Oryzias latipes: one gene and its partner. The protein of the gene in region 1 interacts with the protein of each later gene in a biochemical or structural test. Links are inferred from orthologs where the notes say so. Each region holds a gene or a part of one and is shown on either strand. Other genes may lie near its edges.

What was found.
Region 2: of the proteins of mettl22 (region 1) and kin, one has a biochemical effect on the other in vitro, tested with the Homo sapiens proteins (2 studies listed by BioGRID). The link is inferred for Oryzias latipes from reciprocal best matches to the Homo sapiens genes METTL22 and KIN.

Annotation. Positions count from the first base shown.
Region 1 is NC_019866.2:25,830,653-25,838,638, reverse strand, and holds the start of mettl22 (methyltransferase-like protein 22), read right to left. Parts: upstream 4,551-7,986; 5' UTR 4,491-4,550; exon of another isoform or gene 4,161-4,490; intron 4,080-4,160; 5' UTR 4,063-4,079; coding exon 3,966-4,062; intron 654-3,965; coding exon 500-653; intron 287-499; coding exon 144-286; intron 1-143. UniProt on the Homo sapiens protein: Protein N-lysine methyltransferase. Trimethylates KIN at Lys-135 (in vitro).
Region 2 is NC_019881.2:22,190,510-22,198,476, reverse strand, and holds kin (DNA/RNA-binding protein KIN17), read right to left. Parts: upstream 4,594-7,967; 5' UTR 4,535-4,593; intron 4,444-4,534; 5' UTR 4,438-4,443; coding exon 4,324-4,437; intron 4,236-4,323; coding exon 4,141-4,235; intron 4,058-4,140; coding exon 4,014-4,057; intron 3,466-4,013; coding exon 3,343-3,465; intron 3,067-3,342; coding exon 2,882-3,066; intron 2,794-2,881; coding exon 2,745-2,793; intron 2,666-2,744; coding exon 2,614-2,665; intron 2,537-2,613; coding exon 2,407-2,536; intron 2,334-2,406; coding exon 2,211-2,333; intron 2,131-2,210; coding exon 2,031-2,130; intron 1,959-2,030; coding exon 1,858-1,958; intron 1,614-1,857; coding exon 1,554-1,613; 3' UTR 1,335-1,553; downstream 1-1,334. Other genes in the region: itih2 (inter-alpha-trypsin inhibitor heavy chain H2), read left to right, coding at 1-143, 232-404, 883-994, 1,067-1,235; atp5f1c (ATP synthase subunit gamma, mitochondrial), read left to right, coding at 5,178-5,218, 5,740-5,774, 6,424-6,555, 6,631-6,838, 6,910-7,053, 7,152-7,216, 7,291-7,446. UniProt on the Homo sapiens protein: Involved in DNA replication and the cellular response to DNA damage. May participate in DNA replication factories and create a bridge between DNA replication and repair mediated by high molecular weight complexes.

The DNA of each region.
Region 1 (7,986 bases):
GAATGAGTGTTTGGGGACTGTTGTCATCCCTTCCTGTCCTCATCTGACCCTGACTGGACCACGTTGGACACTCGGATGAAAACATATTTCTGGGCTTTAAAATGAAGACTGGCATGAAAACATCCAAGAATTTAGTCTCTTACCGATCTTTAGGACATTTTCAAAAACACAACCGTCTTCTGCCTCCGTGTTCTGCTGCTCCTGCTCCAGCTTTGGGTCGGACTGTTTGAGAATGACCGGACAAACCGGGTCCCGCCCACTGTCCCCTTTAGGGTCTCTACGGGGTCTGAGGAGGTCAAAGGACAGGGTGAGTGGAGTGCGACCTACTGACTGACCGAACATCAGCTGTTGTCTTCTGCTGCAAACAGGAAGTGTTGCTCAGACTGACAGTCAGCTTTATGATTGATGGTTTCAAAGGTTCTTCTGGGTTCCTGAAGAACCTGGTGATTAACTCGGTGACACGGCTCCATGACTAACCAGGACAGGTCTGTTTTCTTACCGGTCTGTCAGGTCCAGGTCTCCGTCTTCATCCAACTTTGGCTCCTCCTCCACCCGTCTGTCTTCCTGCGGACGCTCTTCCTCTTCTTCCACGGTTTTCCTGAGATCACCGCTGTCGTGGTTTTCTAGCAGGATCCTGAATCTGGACATGAAGACTGACAGACCAGCAGAAATTCAGCTGAAATATGATGAGGACATGAAACGGTCCGAGAAGAGACGTCAGCTGACTGAGCAGGGCGTAAACACTGAGTCTCTGTTTGGGTTAGGACTGCCTCATCATCAGATCTGAGATGTCTGCCTGTCGGCTGAGCTGCTTTCATTTGATTTCATGTGGAGATGAAAAAGCTGTTTTGCTGTTTTTTAACATGATGGACGACATTTTAACAAGAATTTATTCAAATTGTGAATCAGGAGTCGTTAAAAGCCGCGTTCGAAAAAGCTCTCAGTTGTGATGCGGCGACTGAACTGGGCGGGACGAAAGTCTCAAAGCTCCGCCCCTTTCTGATCATCCACCTGCTGACCAACAGATCCATGAACGTCTGTGTTTTCCTGGTCTGAGCTGGAATCTGGATCAGAACCGGACGGATGGATGGATCTGATGCTGCTGCTGTTTCTGTTGCTACGCTAATGTTAGGATGGGGGGGTGTGAGGGGCTGTAAGCTAGCTGGAGAGAGGGGGAACAAAGACATAAGTGACAGGAAGGGGGATGGGTTTGCTCTGTGCCACAAGTCCCGCCCACAACTTAGAGGTGAATTTCTTTTTTTTTTTTTTTTTTTTTAACTTGTCCTGTCCAACAGCTAGGCAAACAGATGAGAGCTGAGGGCCTCTTGTGTTGGACATATTTTATCTTAACAAGAGGGGTTATTCATCTTCAGACAAACCAAAGGTATGTCTGAATAAACCCCTTTTGTAATTGAGGCCAAAATTTATTAATTTCAATCATGTTTGAAAATCTTTGGTGTTGGACCGGACGGAAAAGGAAAGAGGGGAAGAAGAGAGAGGGACGTTAGAGAGAGGGGGGGGTAGGAGGGTGATAATAGGAGGGGAAGGGGGGTAAGACCATGAAGCAGCATAGAGCAGACAGGTTTACTGGTTGTTTATCGTTACGGTAAGGTTCAAATGTAGTACAAAAAGGGCGGGGCCTGTTCGCACACACTCAAATATTATCAACACACCTGCTAGCCGCAAAAATGTCCACATGTCAACATGCACACAAAACAGATAGTGTTCACGAACGCATACCTATGCCTTTAAACCAACTAGTGTGAAATCTTTCATTCATTCAATCATGCAAACTATTAGTGCAAAGGTGAGCCAACACCTGTGCTCAGGTGAGTGTTTATGTTCTTCTAAAATGGATGGTGGAATGTGAAAAGAAGGAGGAGGAGCGCCCAGCCACCCCCACACCCATACCCCCGCCGCAGCAGCAGCGGCAGCCGGAATTCCCCCAACGCCACACGGGAACAGGCAGGGAACAACCGCCCCCCGGGCGACCAAGACCGCCACCCAGGCCAGGGCCAGCAGGACCGCCGCGAGGCCCCCAGAGCCAGAGAGCAGGGAGGCGCAGAGGGAAAGAGAGCGCCGCCCCAGCCCAGCCAGGAAAGCAGCCCCCCGCCGCGCCGGAAGAGCCCAACGCAGGGCCCCACCGGAGAGGGACGCCCACAGCCCCAGACGAGCACCCCACCACCACCCAGGAGTTCCGGGCATCCCCCCGCCCCGACCCCAGGTACGAGCCAGGACCCCCCAAGGGAGACCCGCTCCGCACTCCAGGCAGCCACCCACCCGGCCCACGGTTGGTCCAGGCAGGAGCAAGGCAGGGGCCCGCCGCCCCCGCCCAGGAGGGGGGAACCCCGGGAAAAAAGGGCGGCCCACAAGGGATGTTATAAATATGGCCCGACCAGGCTCGGCCATGTTGGAAGTTTGGCGGGGCCCAGCGCCCAGGGGCAAGGACCAGGACCCACCCCCCAGGGACACGAACACCCCCGGCTCAGGTGTAATATGAACCCCCCCACCGTGCGGAGAGAGCACCGCCGGGCCCAGGGAGCCGGCACCCAAGGGACACGGCCGCCATCGCCAAGGGGCCCGCACCCCCCACCAGGGAAGGGGTAGGGGACAGATGGACCCAGGTCCCACCTTCCTTGTAAAATGTGTGTGCGTGTATGGGTGTTTGAGAGGGTGTTTGTGTGCATGTGTGTGTGTTTATGTTTGAATGTATATATTGAAGGGGGAGGGGTGTGTGTACTAAGGGGGGTGCAGTTAAAATTGGCGAGTAGGGCACTAAGGGGACGTCTCCTGATTACTCACAGTGATGTCCCCTCACCCTCCCCACCTAGGGACCCTAAATGTCTAAGGTGCGGTTAAAATTGGCGGGTAGGGTGCCAGGAGGACATCTGCTGCTTGCTTGCAGTGATGTCCAAGCACCCCCCCTACCAAGGACCCTACATGTCTAAGGTGCAAATAAAACCGAAAGAGGGGGGGCCCACTCCATACGGCAACCATAGGAGGGGGGCCACTCCCAAGTAGCCCCCCCCCAAGGCGCATCGCAGGCTAGACCCCCCACCCCCTCACCCTAATATGAGGTTATATAAGGAAGGGGGTAAGTTGGGGACAGCTGGTAGACTGTCCCCCGGTGGTCAAACAGCCGTCCCCCAGCCCACCCCCAGCAAAGGGGCCAGGGCCACCCAGCCCAGGGGCCCACCACCGGAGGCGCCGACACCCCAGGCCCGGCACCACCCACCCCACACAGAGAGAGAGGAGCCAGAAGGCGTCGCCCCCCCCCCGGAGCAAGCCCAGGCCCCCACCCCCAGACGCCGGCCCTAGAAGAGCTCTGGTCAGGCCTCGACGGGACCGAGGAGGCCAACCGGCCGAGGCAACCACTGATTGCCTCAGCGGAGACCCCGACCCGCTAGCCCCCCCGACCCGTACTAATAATGGGCCCCCCCTCCCCCCCAGAACGCCCCCCCACAGGACAGGGCCGACAAGCCCCCCACCCCACCCCAGACCCCGCAGCCGAAGCGGGTGACACCCAGAGCGACCGGGGGCCCCGAGAGGGTTGTCCCGTCCCGTCCCAGAGCCAGGGAAGGGCCGATCCCAGCCCCAGGTGCAGATGGGCAGCCCATCCGGCGCCGCTGGGCCCCCCCACCCGAGCAGGGCCCCCCGCCAACCCCCCCCAGCACAGGCAAAGGGACCACCCCCCCAAGCCAAGCCAGACCACCACCCCACCCCCCCCACCACGCACCCCCACAATTAGAGGTGAATTTCTAATGAACTCCTGCTGCTCTGCAGAAACTATGTCCCAGAAAACGACATCATCATCATCATCATCATCATCATCAGAATGAACAGACCCCCGGGAAAGCTGTGAATACAGATCAGAAGACGAGCAAACTGAGGAGAACAGGTGTGCGGTTTGAATCCAGACAGGCAGCTTTAACACAGCAGGAAGGAAGCAGGACCATGAAACTCACCTGCAGAGTCCAGACCCGGCATGAGGCTCCCGGCGCTGGGCAGGTGCATGTGCACGTCTGACAGGACCATGTCGGACTCAAAGGTCACGTGATCCATGGAGAGCGGCTACGACCCTGAGGGCAACAACCACAACCATCAGTCCCGGTCCTGGAGCTGCCTCCAGGTCCTTAGCAGACCGGCCGCTCTACACATACGTCCAAGAACCGAAGGTCCGAATCCTGCAGAACCAGTCAGGACCCAGACGCAGCAGAGACGCTGGTCTCCGGTGACGTGGGTCCGTCTGCGCGCCGATCACAGACAGATGACGTAAGCAACACAGCGTGGGGGGGTCACACGCAGGCTGGTGCTAAAGAAGAACTTGCTTCCCAAGGCTTGAATTCAGAACTCTGGGAGGTTTAACTGGTCAAATCCGGATGGCAATACGTTTGATATTTGAAGTATGATGTGTTTTCTGAGGAAGAGGAGCGCAGACGCGGTGCTGACGAGCGCTGAGGAAACAGAGATCATCTAAGGACTGAACTCACCGTGGAAGTGGGGGGCGGCCATGACAGCTGTGCTGTGTGTTATGTTGTGACAGACAGCAGTAATAACCACCGCCACCAATAGATGGTGCTGTCGGCCTGTATATGCCACGAGGAGTTCCAGAGTAAAGTACATGTGAATGTGAGATCATTGTCATGAGGGCGCCATCGACCTCACCAAGATGGCGTCGCGTCAAGCAATGCAGTAATGTGAGCAGAGTTTAAGAACAGACACGTGCACATTACTGGGAGGATTCATGTTGGAAGACAAAAATAGAGGCTCCAAATGAAGTGGAAGACTTTCACACCAAACAAAGTCTTTATTGTAGCATCCAGACACTGAAACCGTCCACAGAACAGTCTTTAGACCCGCTGACACTTCTAAAAGAAGAGTTCTGTTGAAAAGTTCAACAACCCACAAACACACTGCACTGTTTCACTGACACGAATGACTGGAACAGAAGGAGAGTCATGGAGTCATGAGGAGTCAGATTTTCCTCTAGCAAATCAAACTCTTGTTCGTCTGTTCTTCTTCATCTTCAGATATCAACATGTTCACTCAGAGATGGTTCTCTGCAGCAACTGTTTCCATTGGCATCAATAATTGACCAAAGCTTCAGCTGCTAAAGCTTCAGGCGTTGATCTCTTCAGAGGCTTTGCTGCACGAGGAAGATGGCCGAGCAGAACGTCATCTGACTTAAGGACAATAAACAAACACACTGTTTCAGGGGAGGGGTCTCTGGATGTCTCAGCCTGTTCTACGGGAGAACGAAGAATACCACTGTCCTGGTGACCCTGCTGCAATCCGATTGGCTTAGAGGCATTGACCATGCAAGTGAAGTTCTAGTTCAGTTCTGGTTTAAGTTCCAGGTTAGTCCTTTTTGAGTCGTGGTTAAACTGGGGTTCTAGTTCTGGTTAGAGTTAGACTTGGTTTGGTTCCACTTTAGTATTGAGAAAATCTGATCCGGTTTTAGCTTCTGTACATCCGTTTCTATTCAATTTCTAGTGCAGCTTTTGTTTCATTTTTGAAGATTTTGTTTATTTCTTTTTAAGTTCAAATTACATTCAGTCAATTATAGATAAATTCTGGCTAATTTAAAGTTGGGTTTTAGGAAGGTTCCAGTTTAGTTTAACTCAGTTGTGATCAAGTTCTGGTTTAGAGTTTGAAGACAAATGTTGATTTTTTGTTGTTGTGAATATTGTTCCAGAAAGTTCTATCAGCTGATGGTCTGACTCTAGTCAGGGTTGGAGTTGAATTCTGGTTCATTTCTTGTTCCACAGAAAGACTTTCATTGTTTAAAACATTTTCATGGAATTAAATCCCATCTGGGGAATGTTGGCCTCCCCCTCCGGCCTTTTTTATCTTCCTCTCTGGGGGGCTTAGTGCTGGGTGTAAGGCTGGGCTGGGGGCGTTCTTCACAGGTAGCATGGGGGTGGGTGTGCCATGTGTCGTCCTTATACGTGCAGTAGCAAACAGTGTATTCATTGATGTCCACAGGCCCCCCCGCTGGGATCACCCTGCTCCCAGCAAAGCAGTTTGGACCTGGAAGGACAGAAGACAGTTCAGACCCATTGTTTATGCATTCACAGGAAAACCGCTGCCCTCTAGTGTCTGCCTGAGGAAATGTATTAAGTCCTGAGGGAAAATGGAAATTGGTTCATTTGGCAGCCAGGTACCAATGGTTGGTACCACCACGACTCTTGGTAAGACTCCAACTCAGATTTAACCCGGACCTTTAACAAATGTTGGAGACCTCTGGAGGCAGATAATAGAGGAGAGCAATTTCCTATAGACTCCACTGACACAAAGATCGACAAACACAAAATATAAACATTTGAAATTATTCTTTTAATGTAAAGCCGCTGCTCCTTCACATCCAGGGGAACCAGTTGAAATGACTCTGGCATCTGGTCTGGATGCCCTCTGGATGCCTCCCTGCAGAGGTGTTCCAGCATGTCCCACTGGGCGGGGACCCCAGGCAAGACCCAGGACACCTTGGAGAGACTACATCTCTCCAAGGTGTCCTGAGAACTCCTCTGGGTCCCCTAGAGGGACTGGAGGAAGTGGCCAGGCCGAGAGAAGTCTGGGCATCTTTACTTAGACTGCTGCCCCCACGACCAAGTCCTGGATGAGCGAAAGATGGATGGCTGGATGAAAGGATGAATGAATGAAACTGACAAGTTGAGCAAAAGAAGACCACTTCATGACAGAACAGATGCACATGAGTCTCAAGGAATGAAGTACTTTTTCCTTGATTATTTTTCTTAAAAAGTCAGACAAATACTACAGGCGTCAGGATCCAAATGCAGCAGGATTATTAGCTCAGCTAAAAGTCTACGAAACTGAATCAGGGTCAGGAGCCAGAAAATCTGGCTCAATGCAGTATGCTGCAGTTCCCGTTGGTGACCAGAAGGGGGAGACAGAGTTCTGACTTCTGACAAAGCCCCCCTCCTGTAAGCAGGCTCCGGAAGCGAGGGGCCCTCTGAGGTGGGGGCGCTGGTCTGTCACTGATCGGGGAGGGGGTCAAGGATGTCGTCTTGTGCAACCAGGAGCATTCCTCTGGGCCATACCCCTCCCAATCCACCAGATATTGAGGCCAACCCCCCAGACCATAGTGCCGGTCTATGAGTCTTTCTGCCGTTTCCAGTGCTGTGGGTAGCTATGATCAGCCGGCAAGATTTAGAGAAACCATCAATAACAGAGAGGATGGTGGTGTTACCCCTCGACCGGGGTAGATCCATGATAAAATCCACCAGGATGTGTGACCAGGGCCGTGGTGGTATGGGCAGCGGATGCTGGAGGTCGGCCGGACGCTGTCGAAGCGACTTAGCCATTTGGCAGGATGCACATTGGGTCATGTACTGGGCAACCCAAACTGCAGCGTGGGCCCCCAGAAAGAGTTTGAGGCTGGTGCTTGTGTGCTGGCCGTACCTGGGTGTCTGGTTGCAGCCAAGTCGTGCACATAGTGGAGGACCCATTGCTGATGGGATGGGGGAGCAAACACCCTATCGGCCGGACGGGACGGCTGTGGAGCGTCAGCTGCATTGTGTTCTGTCAACTATGTCGTGATGTCCCACTGAGCAGGAGCTGGGATCAGTGATGAGGGCAGGACGGGTTTTGGTGCGACTTATCCTTCAGCCGAGGTGTTGCATAAACGTGACAGAGCATCCCTCTTTCCGTTCTTGGACCCAGGGCGATATGTGATCTGAAAGTGAAAGCCTGAGAAATACAGACAGCAACGTGCCGGCCGTGGTTCAGCCGCTTGGTGGACTTCATGTACTCCAGGTTCTTGTGGTTGCTGAGAACCAGGAAAGGTTGAGCCGACCCTTCTAGCCAACGCTTCCATTAGGAGAATGCCTCCTTTATGGCCAGCAGTTCCTGGTCGCCCACGTCATAGTTTCGTTCCACAGTCTTAAGTGTCTTGGAAAAGTAAGCCCACTGGGACCTCTTGGCTGGCTCACCATGACGATGTGAAAGCACGGCTCTGAGCCCTGCGCT
Region 2 (7,967 bases), on another chromosome or scaffold:
AGGACCTACTTCGGCGTCATCTCGGTCTACTACCAGCCGCGAGGAGTCGGCGTGACGGTCAGCACGGACCTCATCACCCTGACCGACAACAGGAAGGAAAACTCCTTCACCTGGGGGTCCACGGCTGAGATCACACAGGACGGGTAGCTAAAGCTGCTTAGAAACAAAACGGAAACCACTTTCTTTGTTACAGCAAACCTTGTGTTGAATGGGTTTTTCTCTTTGTTTCAGGGTGAGAGTTTCCATTGTGAAGGACGCTCATGTGAACATCACCATCAACAATAATATCCAGGTGATGGTGCTGCTTCACCGCGTGTGGAAGAAACATCCCGTCAACGTCGACTTCCTGGGAATTTACATTCCCAACAATAACCAGTATTCCCCTCTGGTTCATGGACTCATAGGTAAGCAGGGAATCAAACCGACAGCACTGACACTATACAAGGTTAGCTGTGATTAATCGACTGTAAAGAAAGCATGTGGAAAAATGTTAGCAAGAGACGCTTGTGGCGACAGCACCAACATCGCCCTAGTGGTCGTTATTCCAAAGCGAAGCATTTAAAGTCTAAAGCTTTTAAAACCAGACAGTTGGACTTTTTGAACATTCATTTGAATTGAAAATGTATTTGAAACCAGCCTCTAGTGGTCATTTGAGGAACTGCAGGGCTCTGTCAGGTTAGCTTAAATTTCAGAAGTGAAATTTAGGGGCTAGCATGGTTGCCGCTAACAGGTTTTAGCATTAAAAAAGTCTTCCTTCATTCAGAGATTCTGACTAAAGTAGTAGAAATCTGAAGTATTACTTTTTGATCATGTCCTGCTCGCATAAAATGAAAAGAATGAAGAAACCGTGCAGATAAAGGTTTGTCTGATGTGACCTCACAGGGCAGTTTTCCAGAGAGCCTGAGGTTCACGTGTACAACGTCCACGAGGGACTCGACCCTCTGAAGAAGGAAGCTACCATGGAGGTGAAGGGCAGCAGGCTGCTCGTTACCAGGTACTGTCCCGCCCACAAGTCCGACCGAAAACACGAATGGGTTGTGAACTCGGTACGCTTTGCTCTCCTCAGGGGCTGGCAGAAGGACTACAGGCGCGACACGAAGAAGGGCGCCAACGTCTACTGCTGGTTTGTCCACAACAGCGGGAAGGGCTTCATCGACGGCCACTACACAGACTACATCGTACCCGGTCTGAACAGCTTCCTCCACATGAACCCAGACAATACCACGCAGTTCTGAACCTTCAAATAAGAAGAATGTTGTGAAAGAGGTGGGGGGGGGGGGGGGGGGGGGACAAGCAGATGTGACTTTTTTCCAAAGAAAAGTTCCACCAAAAAATCTATTTTTGCAAACTTTATTTAGACCAAATTCAAACCTGCAGACGTCAGGATCGACAAAATAAAAAAAACATGGAACTGCTGCTGTGAATATCCCTGACTTGTCCAGCATGTGGATTGAGGGATGGCTGTATGTACAGGTGTGTGTGTGTGTGGGGGGGGGTTAACTCTGACACAGTAGAGTCCCTCAGTCTAAACATCGAACGACGTTCACGAATGTTCAGGCCAGCTTGGAGAAATCCTCGTAGGCGACGGTCACCCTCTTCCCTTTCAGATGACCCTGGACGTGAAAAGAAAACAGGAAATCATTTTCAAAACGATCCGACGACTCTTCTGTATCTAACACAGAACAAGCCCACATCATTAACCCACCACCAACGTGCCAGACGACAGACACGAGTTCAACTGTCGGTTTTTATTTTTTATCAAACCAGCAACATGTCACAGTAAAAGTCCTCAAACTTTGGAATGAGGGGTATAAACTGGGGTTCTGATGTGAATGACACCCGGGTCGAAACACTCACGGCGTCGAGTGTGAGCGTGGCGCTGAAGTTTTTCTCGTCGATGCCCTCCAGCAGGGCCTCCGTGTCTCTGTACGGGCCGTTCAGGATCAAAACCCGTTTACCTGCGGACCGTTTGACACCTTTAGCATCCCTGACCTGCAGAACCTGGATGGAACGGCGGAAAGGGGGCTCACCCGGTGCAGGGATGACCGTTTCCAGGTGGTTCTGGTCCAGTTTCAGTTTGTCCCCGGAGTCGATCAGCTTCACCACAGCTCCGTATCGATCTCGCACCTCCTGTTCACAAAGGCGTACAGCCGTCAGCAACGAGAGGCCTCCGTGCCCGCCGTCGTTTCTCGTCATCACAGCACCGTTACCGTGACAACGGCCTTCTTCTTGTGGTATTTCTCTCCCAGTTTTTTGGTGATCACTTTCACGACAATGTCGGGCTGCAGCCAGTAGTCGGTTCTGGACGGCTGCTTCTTCTTCCTCTCCTCCATCTGAACAGAAACACGGTTCAGGACGGTCCGCTCTGACATTGGCAGGACAAACACAAACACAAAGGGTCCGAACCTCGATGATCTCCTCCAAGGCGGACTTCTTTTTCTTCTCGCTTTTGGAGTCTGAGCTGGACGGCGGGTCTTTCCTTTTCACAGATGGTGGCGCCGCGGCTGCTTTCAGAGCGCTGGGACCCAGGACGGAGCTGAGGCGCAAAAGAGCCCGTTAGAGCCGAAGGCCGAAGGAGACGCGACCGCGAAAGGGTAACGGAGACGGCCGTACCTCGGTTTGGAGGGGCCGGCCACACAAGCGGACGCTCCCAGGTTAAAGACCACTGCAGGAGCGGAGAACGCCGGATGAGAACAAAGTTAAGAGACCGGGGAAAAAAAAAAAAAAAGCCAAACCACTCCCACCTTTTTCTTCCTCGCTTTCACGCTTGAGCTCTGTGAAAACAGGAGTTTCCTAAAGAAGAAGAGGGACACGGCGTTCACCCCCACCGTCTGTACATTAAGACGCACAGAATCAGAATTTGCGTCCGGCTGGAACTCACCTCCGTCTCCTTGCCGTCGCGGCCTCTTCGGACCTGCTCCTCGATGAACTTGGCGCTCCTCTCCACATCGTCCATCTCTTGTTTCTTCTTCCTCGCCAGCTCCTCCTGCCGCCGGATGGTCTCTGGGTCACGGTCGATGTACTGGATGTACCAGCCTTTAGGCGTCTCGTCAACTTTGCACAAACCTGATAAACATTTTATGGAAATCTGAGTACGAAGATGCAGTCTGCAGGAAGATGGCCTCAAGGCTTTAATGGCAGATTTAGAGCAGAAGGTCCGGTCCAGATGCGTTTTCTGCATCTGAGGTCACTTCAGTCGCTTTTGAATTTAACCTTCTTTCAGATTTGCTGAGAATATATCCACATTTTTCAAAGACATTTCCAACTTTTATAAATATACGTGGTATAAATCTGGAGAAAAGAGGCGCAAAGCTGTGATCTAAAGGCAGTTTTTGGACTCACCTTCTCTGCCGAGCCACTTGGTGAAGTCCGTGAGCGTCTCCCACTGCGTGGAGTTCATGTGGACGTGCTCCCGGTAGCTGATGTACTCGTTATAGACGATGTTGTTGTGCACTCGTTTGGTCCCTAAAATGAAAAAAAAAAAAAAGATTAGAAACACATAATTAAAAATCTTTTAAGTGGATGTTCACTTTTTGGTTGATTTTTACAGTTGTTGCTTATTGTTTAGCCTTTTAGAAAGACGTGAAGAAACATAAGAAAATATTTAACTCAATCCCCTTTTGAGAAGTTTTTGTCTTTAAAAACGAGAAAAATCTTGTAAATTTGATCTTTAAATCAATAAAATGATGAGTAAGAGCAATAATGTCAAGACTTAGTTAGTTCTTAAATAGATTTGATATATCTGTGTATTTTTAATTCCTATTACTTTGTTTTTAGTGCTGAGAATTTCTTAAAATTTCCCAATCCATCAAAAACCATTGAAATACTGTTTAATAGTTTTCAGAATAGCCACATTTCTTTAAGAAATGTGTAAAGAACTACTTAGATTAGGGGCGCTGGGTGTTTAATATATTGTTCAAAGGCATAAAGACGTAAATAAAGTCATCGTCATAAAGGGAAACTGTGTTCTTAGGACTTAGTTTAAGTGCTTCTCTGAAGGGTATTTTTCTCACCAAATCGCCTCCTGAGCAGCTCCAGAAAGTCGCGTTTGAACTCACTGAAACAGACAGCAACAGACATGGTAAACATCTTTAAGGTGAGTGTTAAAGCTCCAGTTGGGATGGTTAGTAGAGGACTCACTCTGAGAAATAGTCCATGAACTTTGTGGGGTTTTCTGAGGCGAGCAGCAGCTGCCTCTGGTGGGACTCGGACATGCAGTGACACTTGAAGCCATTCTAGACCCCAAAACAGAACAAAATCACCGTTTAAACTCTCCAACAACAACCAAAGGTGTAAAATAAGATCATAATATAAAAATCTCACCTCGTCTCGACATTGTTTCTGACACATCTGACAATACCATCGCAGCTTCTGTAGACCTTTGGCTTTTATTCGGTTGCTGATCGATTTCGGGGTCAAAAACTCCGCTTTCCCCATTTTGATCTGTTAAAAAACACAATTAAACCTGTAAAAAATATCAAATCTGGGTATATTTTCCCGAATATTTTGAGATAAACCGAGGAAGCAAGCTAACCGTTTCCGCCGACAGACGTCACACTGTCGCAAAAGTACAAAATCCCGCGATAACAATTGATACCTTCATGGACTTCTCACGAGCTCCGGATTTTAAAAACTTCATACGCCAGAAGCAGTGTGATGAGTTTAAACAAGAAGAAAATCATTGTGCTTTTCTCAGTGATCTTATGAATGATATGGATTATTTAAAGCCTGTGTTTATTTAGCAATATTACAAAAAAGTTTTTGTTTACATAAAATTCTTTAAGGTTTTGATTTGCTTGTAGTTCAGTTATTTGTGTTAATATTTTCCTTTCTGTGCTAAACCTTAAATGCGCGATTTAAACATGCGTTTTGATTTGCTCTACCTGTTAAAATGATAAATAGGTAAAGACTCTGCTTAAGAGTATTTCTGTAAAAAAATAAAATATATAAAAATACATCAAATTTAATGGTTTTATATTAAGAAACGCGGGCTCATTTTTTCCAATCATTTTTATTTTAATGTCAATAAAAAAATTCACATGTGGACATATACAAAGAGCTTTTGATTTTGAAAACCAATGCAGGAAAAAGTTCCCAGTGGTCCTTGAAGTTATCATCCGACAAGCGTAGGCTTGCGCGTGCGCAGTTCTGGGTGTCTGACCTTCATCGCTGCAGCCATGTTCGCCCGGAGCAGCGCTTTGGTTTTCCTCCCACAATGGTAAACCCAAATACCATCAAACATCACATTTATTTTATTTTTATTGTCTTTTTAAATCAAACCTAAATTCTAAAGTGTTGTAGAAACGAAAATGTGGCTTATTGAATTCAGGATTTGCACATCAGTTGTACAAGGACGTGCTAAGAGAGGCAGGCCGCAGCTAATGAATGAAGCTAACTCAACCGGCTATGCTAATGACAGCGCTAACTTAATTTGCTGTAACTTTTGAAATGTAACACAAAGTCTATAAATAGATGCTGTATCTCTGTACATGTGTATTCCAACAGCAGATGCTTTTACAGTAGTTTTTTTCTGTTTGTTTTAGCCTTTTTGCGTTGCATTAGCGTTAGCTGCTAAGCTAATAAGGATACTACCTAGCAAATATCTTTAGGACGCCACAGTTCTTATATCATAAAATGCTACATGGTGTCTGCGAGAGGACAGAAAGTCCAGCTCTGCACTGAAATCTGTACATGAATGGAAGTGAATGAAACGCTAACGTGAACTGATTGTGTTCGCAGTGGGCAGGTCAGGAACATGGCCACCTTGAAGGACAGTAAGTGTTTATCCCCAAAGCTAAAATGCTCCATTTGGTTGTCTGTCTGCACGGTTTCATTGTTAAACAACTTTATGTCTTTACTTTTATTGTGAAAAATTACATATGTCAACATAACGGAGCATCTCTGAAGACTGTCATTCATTCGTGATGATTTCCTAACAAAATAAAAGCCTGGATTGTTAAGATGAACTCTTTCTGAGACTTATTTAGGTATAACTGAGCATCTCCAGGATGGTTTGATATAAAAATAAAAGCCTGTAATTTCCAGGTTACCCCTGAAGATTTAATTTAGTTATAACTGAGCTTTAGAAAGTAAAAACAAACAAACTGCGTAGTGAAAATTGTTATTGTTTCTTTTTTTTAGAGAAAAAAATAAATAAAACAAATGAACTAAATTAAACGATGTGACAGATGATTTCACTTAACCAATTATTAAAGTAAAGTGAATTCATTTCCTGAATTTGTAAAAAATAAATATGGATTTAATGTTATTTGTATTTTGCAAACCCATATCTGCTCGTTAACTAACTTGTCATGTTTTGCATCTGAAAGAACTTGAGAAGAAAAACTTAACTTGACGAATAAAGTTTTTACAAAGGCTTAATTGTGTTTCGTGTTTGATCATGTGACCGCTCTTCTCCTTTAGTCACCCTTCGGCTGAAGTCCATCAAGAACATCCAGAAGATCACAAAGTCCATGAAGATGGTGGCCGCTGCCAAATACGCCCGCGCTGAGAGGCAGCTGAAGCCGGCCCGCGTCTACGGCACCGGAGCTCTAGGTGTGTGTTGGCGGTGACGCCGCGGTTGCTGTGGCGGGCGCCGTGCTGAAAAACGTCTCTTCTTCTGCACGACAGCGCTGTACGAGAAGGCTGACATCAAGGCGCCCGAGGAGAAGACCTCCAAGCACCTGCTGGTCGGCGTGACTTCTGACCGTGGGCTCTGCGGCGCCATCCACTCCGGTGTGGCCAAGGTCATAAAGAGCGAGATCGCCAACCTGACCAGCGCCGGCAAGGAGGTGATGGTGGTCAACGTGGGAGACAAGCTGAGAGGCCTCCTGCACAGGTTTGAGAGGTTCTGACGGTTCTCTCAGGATTCAGACTCGCCTTGGCTTCATGATCCGTTGATCCGAGCAGAACCCACGGGAAGCACATCATCCTGAACTGTAAGGAGGTCGGCCGCATACCCCCCAGCTTCAACGACGCCTCCATCGTCGCCACCGAGCTGCTCAACTCCGGATACGAGTTCGACCAGGGCTCGGTCATCTTCAACAGATTCAGGTGTGGACCCCGCCCCTTTTATCTGGCGCATGCCACAAGTATTGCTTTGAATCCCGGACTAACTAACCCCCCCCCCCCCCCCCCCCCCCCCCCCGCAGGTCCGTCATCTCCTACAGGACGGACCAGAAGCCGCTGTTTTCCACGGACATCGTGGCCAACTCAGGTAGAAGAAACTCAACTTTGACCTTTCTCAGTCGGAGCCGCAGATCCCGAACGTGCCCCCCCCCTCTTCCACAGAGAGCATGGGGATCTATGATGACATCGACGCTGACGTGCTGAGGAACTACCAGGAGTTCGCTCTGGTCAACGTCATCTACCTGGCAATGAAGGAGTCTTCCACCAGCGAGCAGAGCGCCAGGATGACGGCCATGGACAACGCCAGCAAGAACGCCTGTGAGCCTCTTTCAGATCCGTTTTTTTTTTTAAATGTACTTCTTGTTGTGTTTATTTTTACTCACTGAGTTCATTTTATTGATCAAGTGTCGTTCTGTTTGAAAGCTGTCCGTGCACACGTGTTGGAGTGCACGTGCAGCTGCAGACAGACACTACTGAGCATGCTCGGGACGAGCATGTGTCATTCAAGGACTCGTACTTCATTAACATGTAGATGTTAAACGTGCTCTCGTGATCTATAATTAGTGGTTATTTAGTGAACAGGCCTGGCTACAGTTGATTGTAAATGAGCTTCAACCTGGAAGTCAACAGCCTCATGTGAAGCACAGGTTTCCTCCTCCAGGAACATCTAAATTTCACAACTTTTTAGTAGTTCATTGAAAACAGTGTTGGTCATAAAGGGTTGAACTGCATAAAAACTCATTGACTGAAGCTGAGGGGGGCGTGGCTACCTTAAACAAAGATTTATTTAAAGGTTTTCTGTGACTTAAAGACACAGGAGTTGCCGTTTTTAGCCAAAA